2 linked regions of the Elephas maximus indicus genome follow. The protein of the gene in region 2 purifies or fractionates together with the protein of the main gene of each other region. This does not show direct contact. Links are inferred from orthologs where the notes say so. Each region holds a gene or a part of one and is shown on either strand. Other genes may lie near its edges.

Region 1 (7,704 bases), on a different chromosome or scaffold from region 2:
TGTGAGGGCCACCTCTTTTCTCAACCAAACAAAAATACAAAAATGTCTGAATTCACTCTCCAATATCCTGGAAAGAAGTCCCAGTTTTCAAACTAGAATATGCATATCTCTGGGGGTAAACAAAGTTTTCCAAGAGATACGAAAGCACGGGAGTCAACTTCCATAGGAAGCCCATTAAAATCCGTTGCCGTCGAGTCTATTCCAACTCATAAAAAAAAAAAAACTTTTTTTACTCATAGCAATGCTCTATCAACCCTACAGGAGAGAGTAAAAATGCCTCATATGGTTTCCAAGGAGTGCTTGATGGACTCAAACTGTCCACCTCTTGGTTAGCAGCCATAGCTCTTACATTACACCACCAGAGTTTCCCTCCACAGAAAAGGGGTCAGTAAACTACAACCTGTGGGCCAAATTTGGCCGACTGTCCCTAAAGTTTTATTGGAACACACCCATGCTCATTCATTTGTGTTTTCTCTATGGCTGTTTTCACACTACAATGGGAGAGCTGAGTAGTTGTGACAGAGACAATAAAAAAAAAAAAAAAAAAAAGAGACAATATGGCCCACAAATTCTACCATCTGGCCCTTTACAGAAAAAGCACACAGATCCCTGCTTTATTCATTTCAGGAATGAAGGAATTTCAGAAATGCGAGGTTGGTCTAACATTTAAAAATAATGTACGCCATTTCATACATACCTTATAGTTTTAAAAAAGCTTATTTGTATATTTTTAAAACATCGTATTCCCAAAACTTTTTGGGAAAAGTGGAATGGGTACAAGTTCAAAAGAAAAAGGAAAAATATAAAATGGACAAATTCCCAGAATGATACAAATTACCAAAATTGACTCAAAGAAAACCTAAATAGAACTCTATCAAGTAAAGAAACTGAATTAGCAATTACAAATCTTCCCAGAAAGAAAAGGCCAGGTCCAGAGGACTTCGCTGGTAAATTATATCAAACATTTGAGAAAGAAATAGTACCAATCCTACACAAACTCTTTCAGAAAACAGAGCAGGAGGGAACGCTTCCCAACTTCCTTTATGAGAGTAGTTTTATTCTGATATTGAGACCAGACAAAGACATCATTAGAAAAGAAAATGTCATCTAAAGTACAATTAAAAAAAAAAAAAAAAAGTCAGACCAATATCCCTCACGAACATAGACACAAAAATTCTTAACAAAATATTAGTAAATCTAACTCAGCAACATATGAAAAGTATTATACACCATGACTAAGTGGGGTTCATTTCAGGAATGGAAGGTTGGCTTAACATCTAGTAACACTGCTCGTCTGGTTGATACGAACAGAAATATGACACATCTTCCACTTTGCATTAATTACAGGATCTCACGAATGACAAGGATCTAAAATATTTTCTAGTCCCGTGTTATTCAAATTACAGTTCATGATCTATTAGAGGTTAGAGTCAATTCAGCGACTTGCAACTTTTTTTTTCCTTTTAATGAAATAAAAAATGTCAAAAGGCATCACCTGTAGAAAGGATAAATAAACTTTTGTTGTGTGTGTGTCTGTGTGTGTGTGTTCCTGCTCCTGTGAGCAGGGGGCACACTGAGTCATGATGTAAAATGTATCTAGTTGTGGGTCACAGGTTAACAAAGTTTGAGAGATACTTTTCTAGCCTCACAGCCCTACCCCTACAAGGAGACTCCACCAAAATACTCTTAGTAATCAAAAGGGCATGTTCTTTGCAACTATTTTCACTTCATACAGAGAAACCAGCAACTGGGAAAGAGTTCTGTGCTCAGTACACCTAATTTGTCTTTCATATATAAAGATTAAGATCCCTTAGAAGTTTCCGTTTGAAACACTGATCTGCTCAGAGACACTTACGTTTTGGTGGGATTAAAACCTATACTTGGCAGACATCCAAATGAAGTTAGTTTAGTCTGTGGCTAGGGAAAAGAACGAAAACCACTCTGGTTCTTAAGTTCCTCATCTGTAAGCAGAGGAGAAGACTGCTAAAACTCCTTCTAGGCCTAGAATTGGAAGATAATTCAAAAGCAAGCGGCCAAATCAGCAAGGACTCTGCCTCTCACACATCACAGCAATTTAACTACTTAACATGTCAATTATTGATAAGCACAATCAATATCACAACAAGTACTGGTAACAAGAACCGCGAACTTACACCAAGGGCAGGAAAAAATCGAGAGGGAAGTTCCTGAGATTCAGCAGAGGATGCGCCGTAGCGTGTATCATTAACTTCTCAGCCATCCTTGTCTCCCAGACCCCGGCTCACCTCTGTCCTCAAGCCATCAGTTCATGGGTATGGCACTCTGCTCTTCCCTGCTCCCCTATCCCACTGTGCAAAAGGAAACTGAAGCACGGAGCAACGAGTGAGCTGCAGCAGCCACCAACAAGGCTGGACTAGGACCTCAGGCCGCTAACGCCTCCTACCTCATGCAAGCCATTCCCAGGCTATTTAGAATCCGCTGTCCTCGGCCACCCACCTTAAACCAAACCCCATGGGCAACTCCTAGTACCTGGCCTCCATATCATTCATACCGATGCGGCCTCCAGCTCCCACCCACCCCAGTAAAGCTCTATAAGGCCTGGAACCCCGAAGCCTGAAGGCAAACACTGCTGGCCAACCACGGAAGCCCCCGACCACGGGCGCTCACAAACCGGCCGCCTCCCCTCGCTCCCACCTCCGCGCCGTCCAGCCGCGCTTCCTCCTCACTTCACACTGAGCCGACGGCGCAACGCGGGAGGGACCCAAAGACTGAGGGGCTTCTTCTCCGCACCGACCCCCAGAGCCACGGCATCCGCCGCCGCCACCGGAACCGCCCGGGCGTCTACACGCCAACAGCGTGAGGTCACTTCCGGCGCGACGCCTTGGAACTGGGGGGCGGGCGGTTGAGGGTGAGCGCCCGGGAAACTTGAGAGCTGGGGAGACCGCGGCAAGGGCTGGCCATGCGGCCTCCCGAAGTCGCGCCTGGGCGGCCATTTTGCGTGCTCCACGTACTTACTTACATCGGGTGGAACCCTCGCTGGAGTCGGGGTCCTGGTTCTCCCTTCCCCAGCCCCGACGCCTGGGAAACTCCGTTTTCCTTTGTAGGCTCTAAGAAAAACTTGGGCTTCCTCACCCACCGCTTGCGCCAATCGCCAAGCTTGAGCGAAGGACTTTCGGGGTGCCTGATGACGCGGGACCCCATCCTTGCTCTGTCGCAGCTGTAGGATTCAAAAAGTAGGTCAACCTGAGGACAGGTTAAAGGAAACAAGAAATTCCTTCCGCGGCTAATCCTCAGAGTTTATTAGCTCAGCCCTTTTGGGGAGTTGGAGTCAGCCTCTCTACGCTTGCTTGCCTGTCCCTGTCTTCCTCCTTCCCCTCTAGCCTGTCCTGGTACACAATAAAGTGTCACCCTCCGTTCTCCTGCCTTTGGCATTTCATAGTCTTAGCAGTATTAACTTTGAAAAAAAACATGGCTTTAGGGCCAAGACTAAGTGTAACGAGGAGTTTTCTACCTTAAAGTTTGCAAGGCATCCTTAAAGCCTGACGCCTGGTTTGGGAACCACTGTTTGTGCAGGCTGCATGGACTAGGGCAGTGGTTTCCAAAACTGGCTCTACAAAATCAGTTGAGGAACCTTATAAAACTTTTATTTTGCAGGGGATCCTCGCCCCACCCCCCCACCCCCAATCGCAAGAGATTCCTTTTTAGTAGGTCTGGAAGGGTGCTGGCATCTATTTTTTTAAAGGTTCTCTCCAGTCAATTCTGTGCATACTCCAAGTTTGGGAGTCATTGCTACATCAGACCCAGGGTTGAATGCTAGCTCTTTTTTTTTTTTACAAACTATACCTATGAAACACAAGATAAACTGGAGATGATAGCTGACAAAGTTGCTGTGAAATTGAATGAATAATGTGCACCTGCTCATAGTTGATATGCCTAAAAATGTGGTTAATTCTCTCGTACATTCCTTTGGTTAGGGTTTTATAGTCTACTCCAAACAAGTTTTTAAATTCACAAGGCCCAATCTTCAATCATGAGATTATTCTTTACTGCAAGCATTGCTGTAGCCACAGGGGTCAGTTGGTTATGTGATGTTACGTTATGTTACGTTACATTATTATGTTGTGTTATGTTATGCTCACCATTACAGACCCATCCACCACTTGTCTGTCATTTTGGTATACTGTGGTGGCTTCTGTGTTACCGTAATGCTGGAAGCTATGCCACCAGTATATCAAATACCAGCAGGGCCACCTATGGTGGACAGGTTTCACTGGAGCTTACAGACTAAGACAAACTAGGAAGAAGCACCTGGCAATCTACTTCTAAAGAAGTCTACGAGAGCCAAAGAATAACCTTGAGCATATCCCACCAGAATTTAGAGACCATCTCAAGAAAGATTTGACACATTGAACACTAATGACCGAAGACAAGACGAAGTATGGAATGGCATCAAGGATATCATATGTGAAGAAAGCAAGAGGTCATTAAAAAGGAGAGAAAGAAAAGACCAAAGCACATGTCAGAAGATACCCTGAGACTTGCTCTTGAACATAGAGTAGCTAAAGCGAATGGAAGAAATGATGAAGTAGAAGAGCTGAACAGAAGATTTCAACGGGCAGCTCAAGAAGACAAAGTATTATCATAAAATGTGCAGAGACCTGGAGTTAGAAAACCAGAAGGGAAGAACACACTCAGCATTTCTCAAGCTGAAGGGACTGAAGAAAAAAATTCAAGCCTCGAGTTGCAATACTGAAAGATTCTATGGGCAAAAAATTGAACTGCATAGGAAGCATCAAAAGAAGATGGAAGGAATACACAGAGTCACTGTACCAAAAGAATTGGTCAATGTTCAACCATTTCAGGAGGTAGCATGTGATCAGGAACCAATAGTACTGAAGGAAGAAGTCCAGGCTGCACTGAAGACATTGGCGAAAAACAAGGCTTCAGGAATTGATGGCATACCAGTTAAGATGTTTCAACACACGGATGCAATGCCAGTAAATTTGGAAGATAGCTACCTGGCCAGCCAACTGAAAGAGACCCATATTTGTGCCCATTTCAAAGAAAGGTGATCCAAGAGAATGTGAAAATTATCAACCAAGATTATTAGTATATGCAAATAAAATTTTGCTGAAGATAATTCAGAAACAGTAGCAGCAGTACATCAACAAGGGACTTCTAGAAATTCAAGCTGGATTCAGAAGAGGACATGGAACAAGGGATATCATTGCTAATGTCAGATGGATCTTGGCTGAAACAGAGAATACCAGAAAGACGTTTACCTGTGTTTTATTGACTATGCAAAGGCATTTGGCTATGTGGATCGTATCAAGTTATGATTAACATTGCGAAGAATGGGAATTCTGGGACGCTTAATTGTGTTCATGAGGAACCTGTATAAACCAAGAGGCAATTGTTAAAAACAGAACAAGGGGTTACTGCATGGTTTAAAATCAGGAAAGGTGTGAGTCAGGATTGTATCCTTTCACCATACTTACTTGATCTGTATACTGAGCAAATAATCCAAAAAGCTGGACTATATGAAGGACGTGGCATCAGGGTTGTAGGAAGATTCATTAACAACCTGCGATATGCAGATGACACAGCCTTGCTTGCTGATAGGAAAGAGGACTTGATGTACTTACTGATAAAGATTGAAGACTACTGCCTTCAATATGGATTACACCTGAACATAAAACAAAAATCCTCAACTGAACCGATAAGCAACATCACGATAAACGGAGAAAAGACTGAAGTTGTCAGGGATTTCATTTTACTTGGATCCACAGTCAACATCCGTGGAAGCGGCAGTCAAGAAATCAAACAATGTATTGCATTGTGGGCACATCTGCTGCAAAAGTCCTCTCTGAATTATTAAAAAGTGAAGATATCGCTTCGAGGACTAAGATGTGCCTGACCCAAGCCATGATATTTTCAGTCACCTCGTATGCATGTGAAAGCTGGACAGTGACTAAGGAAGACTGAAGCAGAATTGATGCCTTTGAATTATGGTGTTGGAGAAGAATATTGAATATACCATGGACTGCCAGAAGAACCAACAGCTCTGTCTTGGAAGAAGTACAACCAGAATGCTCCTTAAAAGTGAGAATGGCAAGACTTCATCTCCTGTACTTTGGACATGTTATCAGGAGGGACCAGTCCTTGGAGAAGGACATCATGCTTGCTAGAGTAGAGGGTCATGGAAACAGAGGAGGACCCTCAACAAGGTGGATTGACACAGTGGCTGCAACAGTGGATTCAAAAATAGCAATGATTGTGAGAATGGCCCAAGACAGGGCATTGTTTTCTTCTGTTGTACATATGGTCACTATGAATTGGAACCGACTTGATGGCATCTAACAACAGCAGTCCCATCAGCCTTGCACAGGGCATGCCTTATAAAAACAAACAAATCCATTGCCATTAATTGAATACCACTTGTCTTAGTCATCTAGTGCTTCTATAACAGAAATAACAAGAAAAACAAGTGGATGGCTTTAACAAAGAGAAGTTTATTTTCTCACAGTAAAGTAGGCTAAAAGTCCAGGTTCAGGGTGTCAGCTCCAGGGGAAGGCTTTCTCTCTCTCGGCCTTCTCATCAGTCTTCCCCCAGACTAGGAGCTTCTCTGGGCAGAGACCCTGGGTCTAAAGGCCGCACTCTGCTCCCAGCACTGCCTTCTTGGCGGTATGAGGTCCCCATGTGTCTCTGCTCACTTCTTTCTTTTATGTCTCAAGAGAGTGTCCCAAGACACAATCTAATCTTGTAGGCTGAGTCCTCCCTCACTAACGCAACTGCCCCCATCTTCCCCTATTAACATCATATAGGCAGGATTTACAACATATAGGTAAATCACACAATACTGGAAATCATGGTCCAGCCCAATTGATACACACATTTTTGGGGGGACAGTTCAATCCGTGACATCACTCATGTCAACCCTGTATGTTACAGAGTAGAACTAAATTCATAAGATTTTCTTAGCTGTAATCTTTACAGAAGCAGATTGCCAGGCTTTCCTTCTGCAGTGCTGCTGGTTGGTTTTAAACTGCCAAGCTTTTGATTAGCAACTGAGCGCAAACCGTTTGTGCCACCTAGGGACCTCCTGCCTCATAGTAGATGTTAAAATAAGTGTTGAATGTATGAAGGAATTGTCCTAAGGCTTCCTACATAGACTTTCCCCAAGGCTCAAACTGAGAAGTTCTAGGCACCTCTGAAGTCCCAGCTGGTGAGCTATTAAACCTTGGTAAAGCAGTCAGCAACTGCCTTAATCCACTATCTGCTCTGTCAGCCCTGAAGAATTGCTTGATTTAGAGAATTATGCTATGTTGTATTTTGACCTAGAATTCATGGGCAGATCAATCACCCAGTGTGAAAAGCATTGTTGAGTTTCTACTGTGGCCTGAAGGGTGTGACAAATAATTTCATAATTGGGAAGGGAACATTCTTTCTCTAAACTGCGTCTACATTCTCCAGGGCTAGTCATTCTGAGAATTGAGAAAAGGATTGTTTCTGTTTCTGATTGAACACAGAAAAGTCGTTCTCGTTAAGTTCATTTGGAAACCAAAAGCCAGTGGTATTCTACGAAGTTTGTTAAAAATGCAGATTCTAGTCCTCCCTCTGAGAGACTGATTCAGTAGGTCTGGGGTAGAATCCAGGAATCCAAGAAACAAGAGCCAGGAGAATAGCATGTCCTTTGGACCCAGGGTGCCTGTGCTGAGAAGTTCC
Region 2 (7,266 bases):
TGCAGTGTTGCTCATTTTTAAAAATATCCAGGCTACTGTTAGGTACTTGGATCAAGCTTCATACATGGTCTGCCTTCCTGTTGCCCTGATTCTGGGCACAGGTAACAGATAACCTCTGTCCTGCCTGTGAGCAAGTCTGAAGTCAGGCAGAGCAAAGCCTGGGAAGGCTGACTCTCTCATCTTTGTGCATCTACAGGTGCAAGCCAATTTTAGGTGTGTCATGCATCATTTTTTCCATAGTCCCCACTGGGAGCTGACTGTGGTCACAACTCTGTCTACCGACCTTCCACCTCTCTTCATTCTACTTTTATGACAAACACTGTTATCACAAGAATACCTGACAAACATCGACCGTCTACAATTTGTTCAACTGCAAAGGTGACACAGAAAACTCTGGTTTCCAAGTTTCAGATTCCAGGTCCAATTTCAAAATGATATCCTATTTCTTTCTATCCCGTATACCAATCTAAAAGCTGAAATCTCTAGCAGAGCTAATTTATCAAAAAAAAGAGAGAGAGAGAGAGAGAAATTTAAAATGCTAAAAGCATGCTCTTGTTAAAAGCAGTTAATTTAGGGAAATAAAGCAGTTCAACTTCTCTCGGAGGGTCTGCAGGCTTCTGATATACACACAAATCGAAGATACTTATTTCTATCTCCTCATGCTGGGAAAGTCCATGTTACAGATAAACACACCTTCGGGCCACTGCCCAAGTAGACATTTTACCTAAAAAAGCAATAGGATACTACACCTGAAAAGAGTCCGGAGTTATCTATCGGGCCGGGAAACAGGTTGTGTTCACCCACATTGTACATGTCCCAGCTGTCAAAGCCCACATACTTCTTCCATTGCTTGAACCAACGGCTGTCAATAAGATACCTAGAGACAGACAAAAACTTACTGTGGCAGAAAAGCTGGCATTACAAGTTTCTGTGCCTATCCCCTCGTTCTTTTCTGGTCTTTCCTTTTGGGTCACTTACAACCCCCATTAAAAAACAGACTCAAGAGCAGAAGCAGGGCCAGGCTCTACACAGCACTGAGGGCATGGCCCAGGGCACGTATCCCTTAAGTGAAATGACTGTTTAAAAGAATGAATGAATGGAAGGGAGGAAATGATTGGCTTCAAAATGTTTATTTAAATTAAGTCTTTCTATGGGTAGAATCCTGTTTGCGATCAACCGGTCATTAATTCCATACGATTTCTACAGAGGTCCTCATCCAGGCAGACAGTTTGTGGCTGCACTGCTTTGCTTAATGTGAACAGCATTAAATTGATTTCATTTCTGAAAATGGGATAATAGTTCCACCTACTTCAGATTTCCTTAGTGGACCAAACAAGATATTAAAAATGTGTGAAAGCACCTCCTTTTCTTCCTTCCTTGATGATATCTGACTAGACTATAACAAATAATTTCCTCTAATACCCATTAAAATAGTACGCATATGCATATATATACAATTTATACTTATATGTGTAATTAGTACACATATACACATGTAAACAAACATGTATATATATACACATTTACATAAAGTTAGTGTCTACTGTGTTCATCTTATCAAAAATTCTGAAACTGTGTTTCATATTTAACTTATTGTTTTTTATACTTAAGAAAAGTAAGCAAACCTGGTTATATTTTAAAGTATCACTTTTATGATTAAGACAGAAGGAGGGAGAAACCTCTGTGGGGCAACAAAACACAAATATTCATAAGTTCTTCAAATTTTGTAACCAACAAACCTTAGAGAAGATCAGGCAGCTTCCCAGAGGCCACAGGATCCACAAATATATCCAAACTTCTAAATGTTCTTTTCTCTCCAAACCCCTTAAGCAATACCCTCCACAAACTTTTTGTGTGATTTTAGTCTATCGTAAACTCCCTCTCCTTCCACCGAGTATTCTTTTTCATGTATCACCCCTAAACAGGATAACTTCCAAAGTACCTCTGCTTGCTCTGCCTTTTAAAACTTGGCTAGCTCAAGATAAACACTGTAAAGCTGTATCTGAACTCCTCTTAACCTCAATATTTCTATTCTGAACTCAATTCCTCTATCACTATAAATGACATTATCATCACCACCATGGTTTCTTAAAGGCAGAAGTTCATTCTTATTCTTTGCAAACCCTAACCTGTTTTCTACTCCCACACAATACCACCCAGTAATCTCTCCACTATTGGAAGGTAATGCCTTTTCTACTAAACAATCTATTAAGAAACCTCGTGTCTCAGCTTTCTTTGTTCTTCTAAATTCTGTACTTCTAATCTTCTATCTAGCTCTAGGCTCCAGGCCACCCTCCTCTCCCACTCCAATATGCTGCTACCACAATTATTTCTGACATTTGTTATCAAAATAATCTAGAGCTCACAGACATTTGTTCAGCTTCTGACCCTGACATCTGTTCTGCAGTTTGCAAGTTACGAGTATCTACTTCTGATCCTTGCCTCAACTGAGTGAGGGCTGTGGGCCAAGTATTGCTACCCTGCTTTTACTAGTAAGGAACCAATGTCTACAAAGAGCGAATGTCTTCGCCCAGGGTCACAAGGGGAGTCCTCGATGACACAGGGCTCTTCCCACCCTCATGATCCCTGTGAGCACTCCACTTCCTCCCCATCCTGCAGCCCTTGCCCCCGCGGATCCGCCCCCTAGGGCTCTGAAGGGGCCGGTATGAGCTCCAGTCCCGCCGCGCTCTCCCAGTACCGATCTCAGGGTTCCTCTCCCAAGGGGCGGGGGTCAGGCCACCCTCTCAAGATCACCAGACACCGCCCCCGTCCGGCTCCTCCCCAAGCTGAAAGGGGCCGGGCCTGAATGCCGGGGCTCCTGCGCCCAGCTGTGCTCCGTAGAAGGGCGGGCCCACAGCTTACCACTGCGCCCCCCGTTGGAGCGTGGTCCTCATCAAGGCACCTAGCTCGGATTTCTGGGTCTCCGCATCCGGTCGCTCACGGCAGCCTCCGCCTTCCGCCATCTCATCCGCGGCCCCGGCGCAGCCGGCCCGGACATCCGCCTCGCGCACAGCGTGCGGCGAGCCGCGCCCACGCACGCACGCACGCACACACGTGCACGCGCCCAAGCCCCGCCCCGCGGCACCGCCTCGCGCGCCTGCCCGCCTCTTTCTTTTCTTCCCACCCCCACGCGCCGCGCCGTCGTGTCTCACAGACGCTGTGGAGCCGGGAGGAGGCCGGAAAAGGGGTAGAAGCCGAAGGAGCTGCCGCTTCCGCCTGCCTTGCCGCTTGCTTTTTGCGCCGCCCCTCTTTTCTGTGTTTCCGCGCAGTCCGTCAGGTGGCGGGCCTCACGACCCCGTGCGTTTTTCATTCTGACCTGAGGGGTTATCCTGGGCCTGAGTAAATGTGGAGTTGAGTTTGAGAAGCCCTAGGACTAGATTTTCTCACTTTCGCTTCTGCTGTGGCACGGGACCCGCAACGTTGCCATCTTTTATGTTGAAGGGGAAACAGGCTTTGCGAGGCCGCACTCCTGCTTTCTGCTAGTTCACTAACGTTTGCTAAGTCATTCTTCTGTAATTCTTGCCGAGGCGGTCTTATGTAAGTCTAGAGGCGTCCCTGGCATGTAGCCACTATTGTTCGCCACCGCTAGAAAAGCCCTGTCCCCCACCACGGGGCGAGGAGATCTGCTTAGTCATGCTGCTGCCCAGGACGTTCCTCGCATGTAAGTCTCCCTAAGAAACTCCTTTGTTGGCACTCTGGAGTTGCCTGCCGCTCTCAGCAAGCACCCTCCGTTTTTGAAGACAAGTTTTAAGTTGTTGGTCTCTGCCAGGACAGTTAGCGAGCCAGCCAAGAGACTGAAGAAATGGCAAGTGGGAGTGAGGCCTCTGGGGGGGAAATCCCAGGTTGGCCAACAACCTCCATGTGGAACGGTTTGGCTGTATGCTTGATGTGTGTGGACCTCCCGGTGAGTGTAGGGATGCCCTGAAAATGCTAAGCGGCATAGCCTGGTTGCAGGAAGATGTACGCCTTCGTAAGTGTGGAACGGAAGCTAGGAAAACAGTAGGGGCCATAGGGTGGCCGCTGGTCTGGCCCTTTCGGCTGGCCACTGACACCCAGCTAGCTGGTGAAGAACACATAGGAGCTTTGCAGGAAGAGTAACAGTTGGAAAGGGATATGCGGCAGTCGCACGTGGCCATGACTAACATATTGAGCAGCTGTGTCCACGAACAGGATGAGCAACTAGAAATGCTTGCCTGCAGGTTTGTAAAGATGGGGGAGGGGGGAAGGAAAGTGCCAAATGTGAAGATCAGGGCAATGTTGATGAAAGGTGACTGGGAAGTGAAAACATGAAATTCTTGGGATGACAAGCCTGGTAGTGACTCAGGTGGTGGTGATATTAGAGGAGGAGCATGGCTTTCCCCTCCCATAAGATAAAAACTACCTGCAAGCGGGATGACCCTAGACAAGAAATTCTACCCAGCAATTCTGTGACAATGCAGGAATACACCCTCACTGAGTTGATTGAATTGTATGTGGAATTCCAGCACAAAGGAAAGGAAACCATTGCAGCTTGGTTATTATATCTGTGGGATATCAGGGGAGACAGTGTTTCTTAAGGCAGCTGAGGCAGAAAAAACAGGTTATATTACCACTGACCCCGCCCACCGACAGTGTTTACATGCAGCTCAGAACACAGAGGGCATACACACTTTCTGTAATTGGATCATCTTGTGTTGTAGAAAGGCATGGGCAAATGGGGGAGATCTTCCTAGTACAGTCGATTACAGCAACTAATATGGGAGCTAGGTATGTGCCATTTATGCCGAACCCTTCTGGGGACCAGACAATGAACTGTTTACTGTGGGAATGATAGGAAAGATCCAACAGCCAGCCCTGCCTGCCTGGTACAGAACACTGGTGGCTATAGTTCGTCCCTAGTGGGCCAGGCAGTCTACGGTGGGAGAAGCCATAGCCAACTTAGGTGAAACTGACAGGGCTAGAGAGAAGGGGCTGCACACTGTGGGAAGAGCGAAAAGAAAGGCTGAAAGCCCTGTAAGGTGACTGTCCAAGAGCACCTTGAGAGTAACCCGAAAGCAGATATGGGAGGACTTAGTGGCTGCCAGGGCCGCAGTGGAAAAGATAACTGAATGCAGTTTTGGTCAACCTTTGAAAGACTCTGAAACCAGAGCAACTATACCACCCTCTGGATCCCACTGCCTGCTTCCTTATGGGAAGAGAAAAAAGAAAAGCTGAAAAGCCTCTAAGACAATTGTCCAAGGGCCCTTTGGAAGTAACCCAGAAGCAGATATGGATGGACTTAGTGGCTGCCAGGACCACAGTAGAAAAGACAGATAAACAACCAGATGCAGTTTTGGTCAATCTTTGGAAGAATCTGAAGCCAGAGCAATAATACTGCCCTCTGGGTTTCACTTTCCCCTGTGAAGAAGTGCCCCTTGCCACCAGGTAGATCCTGCCAATCCCTAAGGTCTACGGGTGGGGCTGAGGTAACCTGCAGGTCAGGGGCCTGCAGGGGGACCAGAGGCCCCATGTAGAGGTCACAAAACAAGCAGTGGGGTGCTAGCTCTGGTTAATACAGGGGCAGAATGCACCCCTATCTTTGGAAACCCTGAACAGGTTCAAGGACCCCCCTTGGCAATTGACAGGTGTCATGGATTGAATTATGTCCCCTAAAAAATGTCTATCAATTTGGCTGGGCCACGATTCTTGGTATTGTGTAATTTTCTATATATTGTAAATCCTGTTTCTATGATGTTAATGAGGGAGGATGGATGGCAGTTGTGTTAGTGAGGCAGGACTCAATCTACAAGACTGGATTGTGTCTTGAGTCAATCTTTTGAGATATAAAAGAGAGAAGCCAGCAAAGAGACAGGGGGACCTCATACCACCAAGAAAGCAGTGCCAGGCGCAGAGCGTGTCCTTTGGACTTGGAGTTCCTGCGCAGAGAAGCTTCTAGTCCAGGGGAAGATTGATGAGAAGGCTGACACAGAGAGAAAGCTTTTGTCTGGAGCTGACACCCTGAATTTGAACTTTAGCCTACTTGCCTGTGAGAAAATAAACTTCACTTTGTTAAAGCCATCCACTTGTGGTATCTCTGTTATAGCAGCACTAGATAATAAAGACAATGGGTATGGTGGAAAGTCCATCTGCATACATCAGGTACTCCTGACCCTACAAGTAGAATGTACTACCCCCAAATTGTATGAAGTTTGTGTTTCCACAATACCAGAATACATTCTAGGAGTGGATGTCCTCATGGGACTAAGTTTGATCACATCTGTGGGAGAATTCTGACTGCAGGTGAAGGTGGTAGAAGCAGTCTTGAGGGGAAAAGCAGCATGGGAACCAGTAGTCCTGTCTCCACCACAAAGAGTGGTAGACATCAGGCAATATAAGGTGCCTGGAGGATGTAAGGAAATCAGTGAAATCGTTTTGGAATTGAAAAGGGTAGGTAATCCCCCAGAAAGCCCAGCTGTGGTTTTAACAGCACTGTATGGTCTGTGAAGAAGTCAGATGGGTCATTGAGTATGACTGTGTACTATGGAGAACAAGGCGATCCCTCCTACACATGCTGCAGTCCCAAATGTAACTTCCTATTTGGAAACTTTTAGTAGAGACCTGGCCAATGTGTTCTTTATCATCCTTCTTGCCCCATCTGCTCAGGACCAGTTTTCCTTCATCTGAGGGGGACAGCAATGGACGTTCTGAGTGCTACCCCAATGGTATTTACATAGTCCCACTATATACCATGATTTGGTTGCTTGGAATCTGGCTTTTTTCCCCTCTCCTGCTACCATTTGTTGGTTTCATTACACTGATGATGTTATGTTAACTGCTGAAGACGTTTCTCTGTTACAGGACTGTCTAGACATCTTAATCACTCTCCTACAGGGGAGAGGATGGGCCGTGAATCCCCAAAAGGTGCAGGGGCCAGAAACATTGGTAAAATTCCTAGGGAAACCATAGATGATACTATATAAATTTTCCCCCCCTTCCACGACACCAAAAGAAGTGCAGGCCTTTGTGGGTCTTTTGGGGTATTGGAGAGTATTTATTACCCACTTGGACCAGTGCTTGAGACCACTCTATCAACTGGTAAAAAAGGGTCCCCCTTGGGATTGGGGTAATGAACCAGCAAGCTTTCTAGAAGGCAAGGTGTTGTTGCACAAGTGAAAGCACTAGGTGCGATACATGAAGGATTACCCTTCCAGTTGACTTAAGCAGCACCGAGAACAGCGTTGACTGGGTGTTATAACAAGATCAGGATGAAACTACAGTCCTCCTAGGTTTTTGGTTCCAACTATGGGG

The links. Proteins that work in one complex are often made in the same cells at the same time.
Region 1: the proteins of USP4 (region 2) and EDC3 purify together in Homo sapiens (co-immunoprecipitation; 3 studies listed by BioGRID and IntAct, with this or other methods). This does not show direct contact. The link is inferred for Elephas maximus indicus from reciprocal best matches to the Homo sapiens genes USP4 and EDC3.

What each region holds. Positions count from the first base shown.
Region 1 is NC_064831.1:64,765,432-64,773,135, forward strand, and holds the start of EDC3 (enhancer of mRNA-decapping protein 3), read right to left. Parts: upstream 3,017-7,704; 5' UTR 2,995-3,016; intron 2,857-2,994; exon of another isoform or gene 2,674-2,856; intron 2,639-2,673; exon of another isoform or gene 2,154-2,638; intron 1-2,153. UniProt on the Homo sapiens protein: Binds single-stranded RNA. Involved in the process of mRNA degradation and in the positive regulation of mRNA decapping. May play a role in spermiogenesis and oogenesis.
Region 2 is NC_064838.1:53,785,895-53,793,160, forward strand, and holds the start of USP4 (ubiquitin carboxyl-terminal hydrolase 4), read right to left. Parts: upstream 3,027-7,266; 5' UTR 2,964-3,026; coding exon 2,863-2,963; intron 2,835-2,862; exon of another isoform or gene 1,740-2,834; intron 878-1,739; coding exon 750-877; intron 1-749.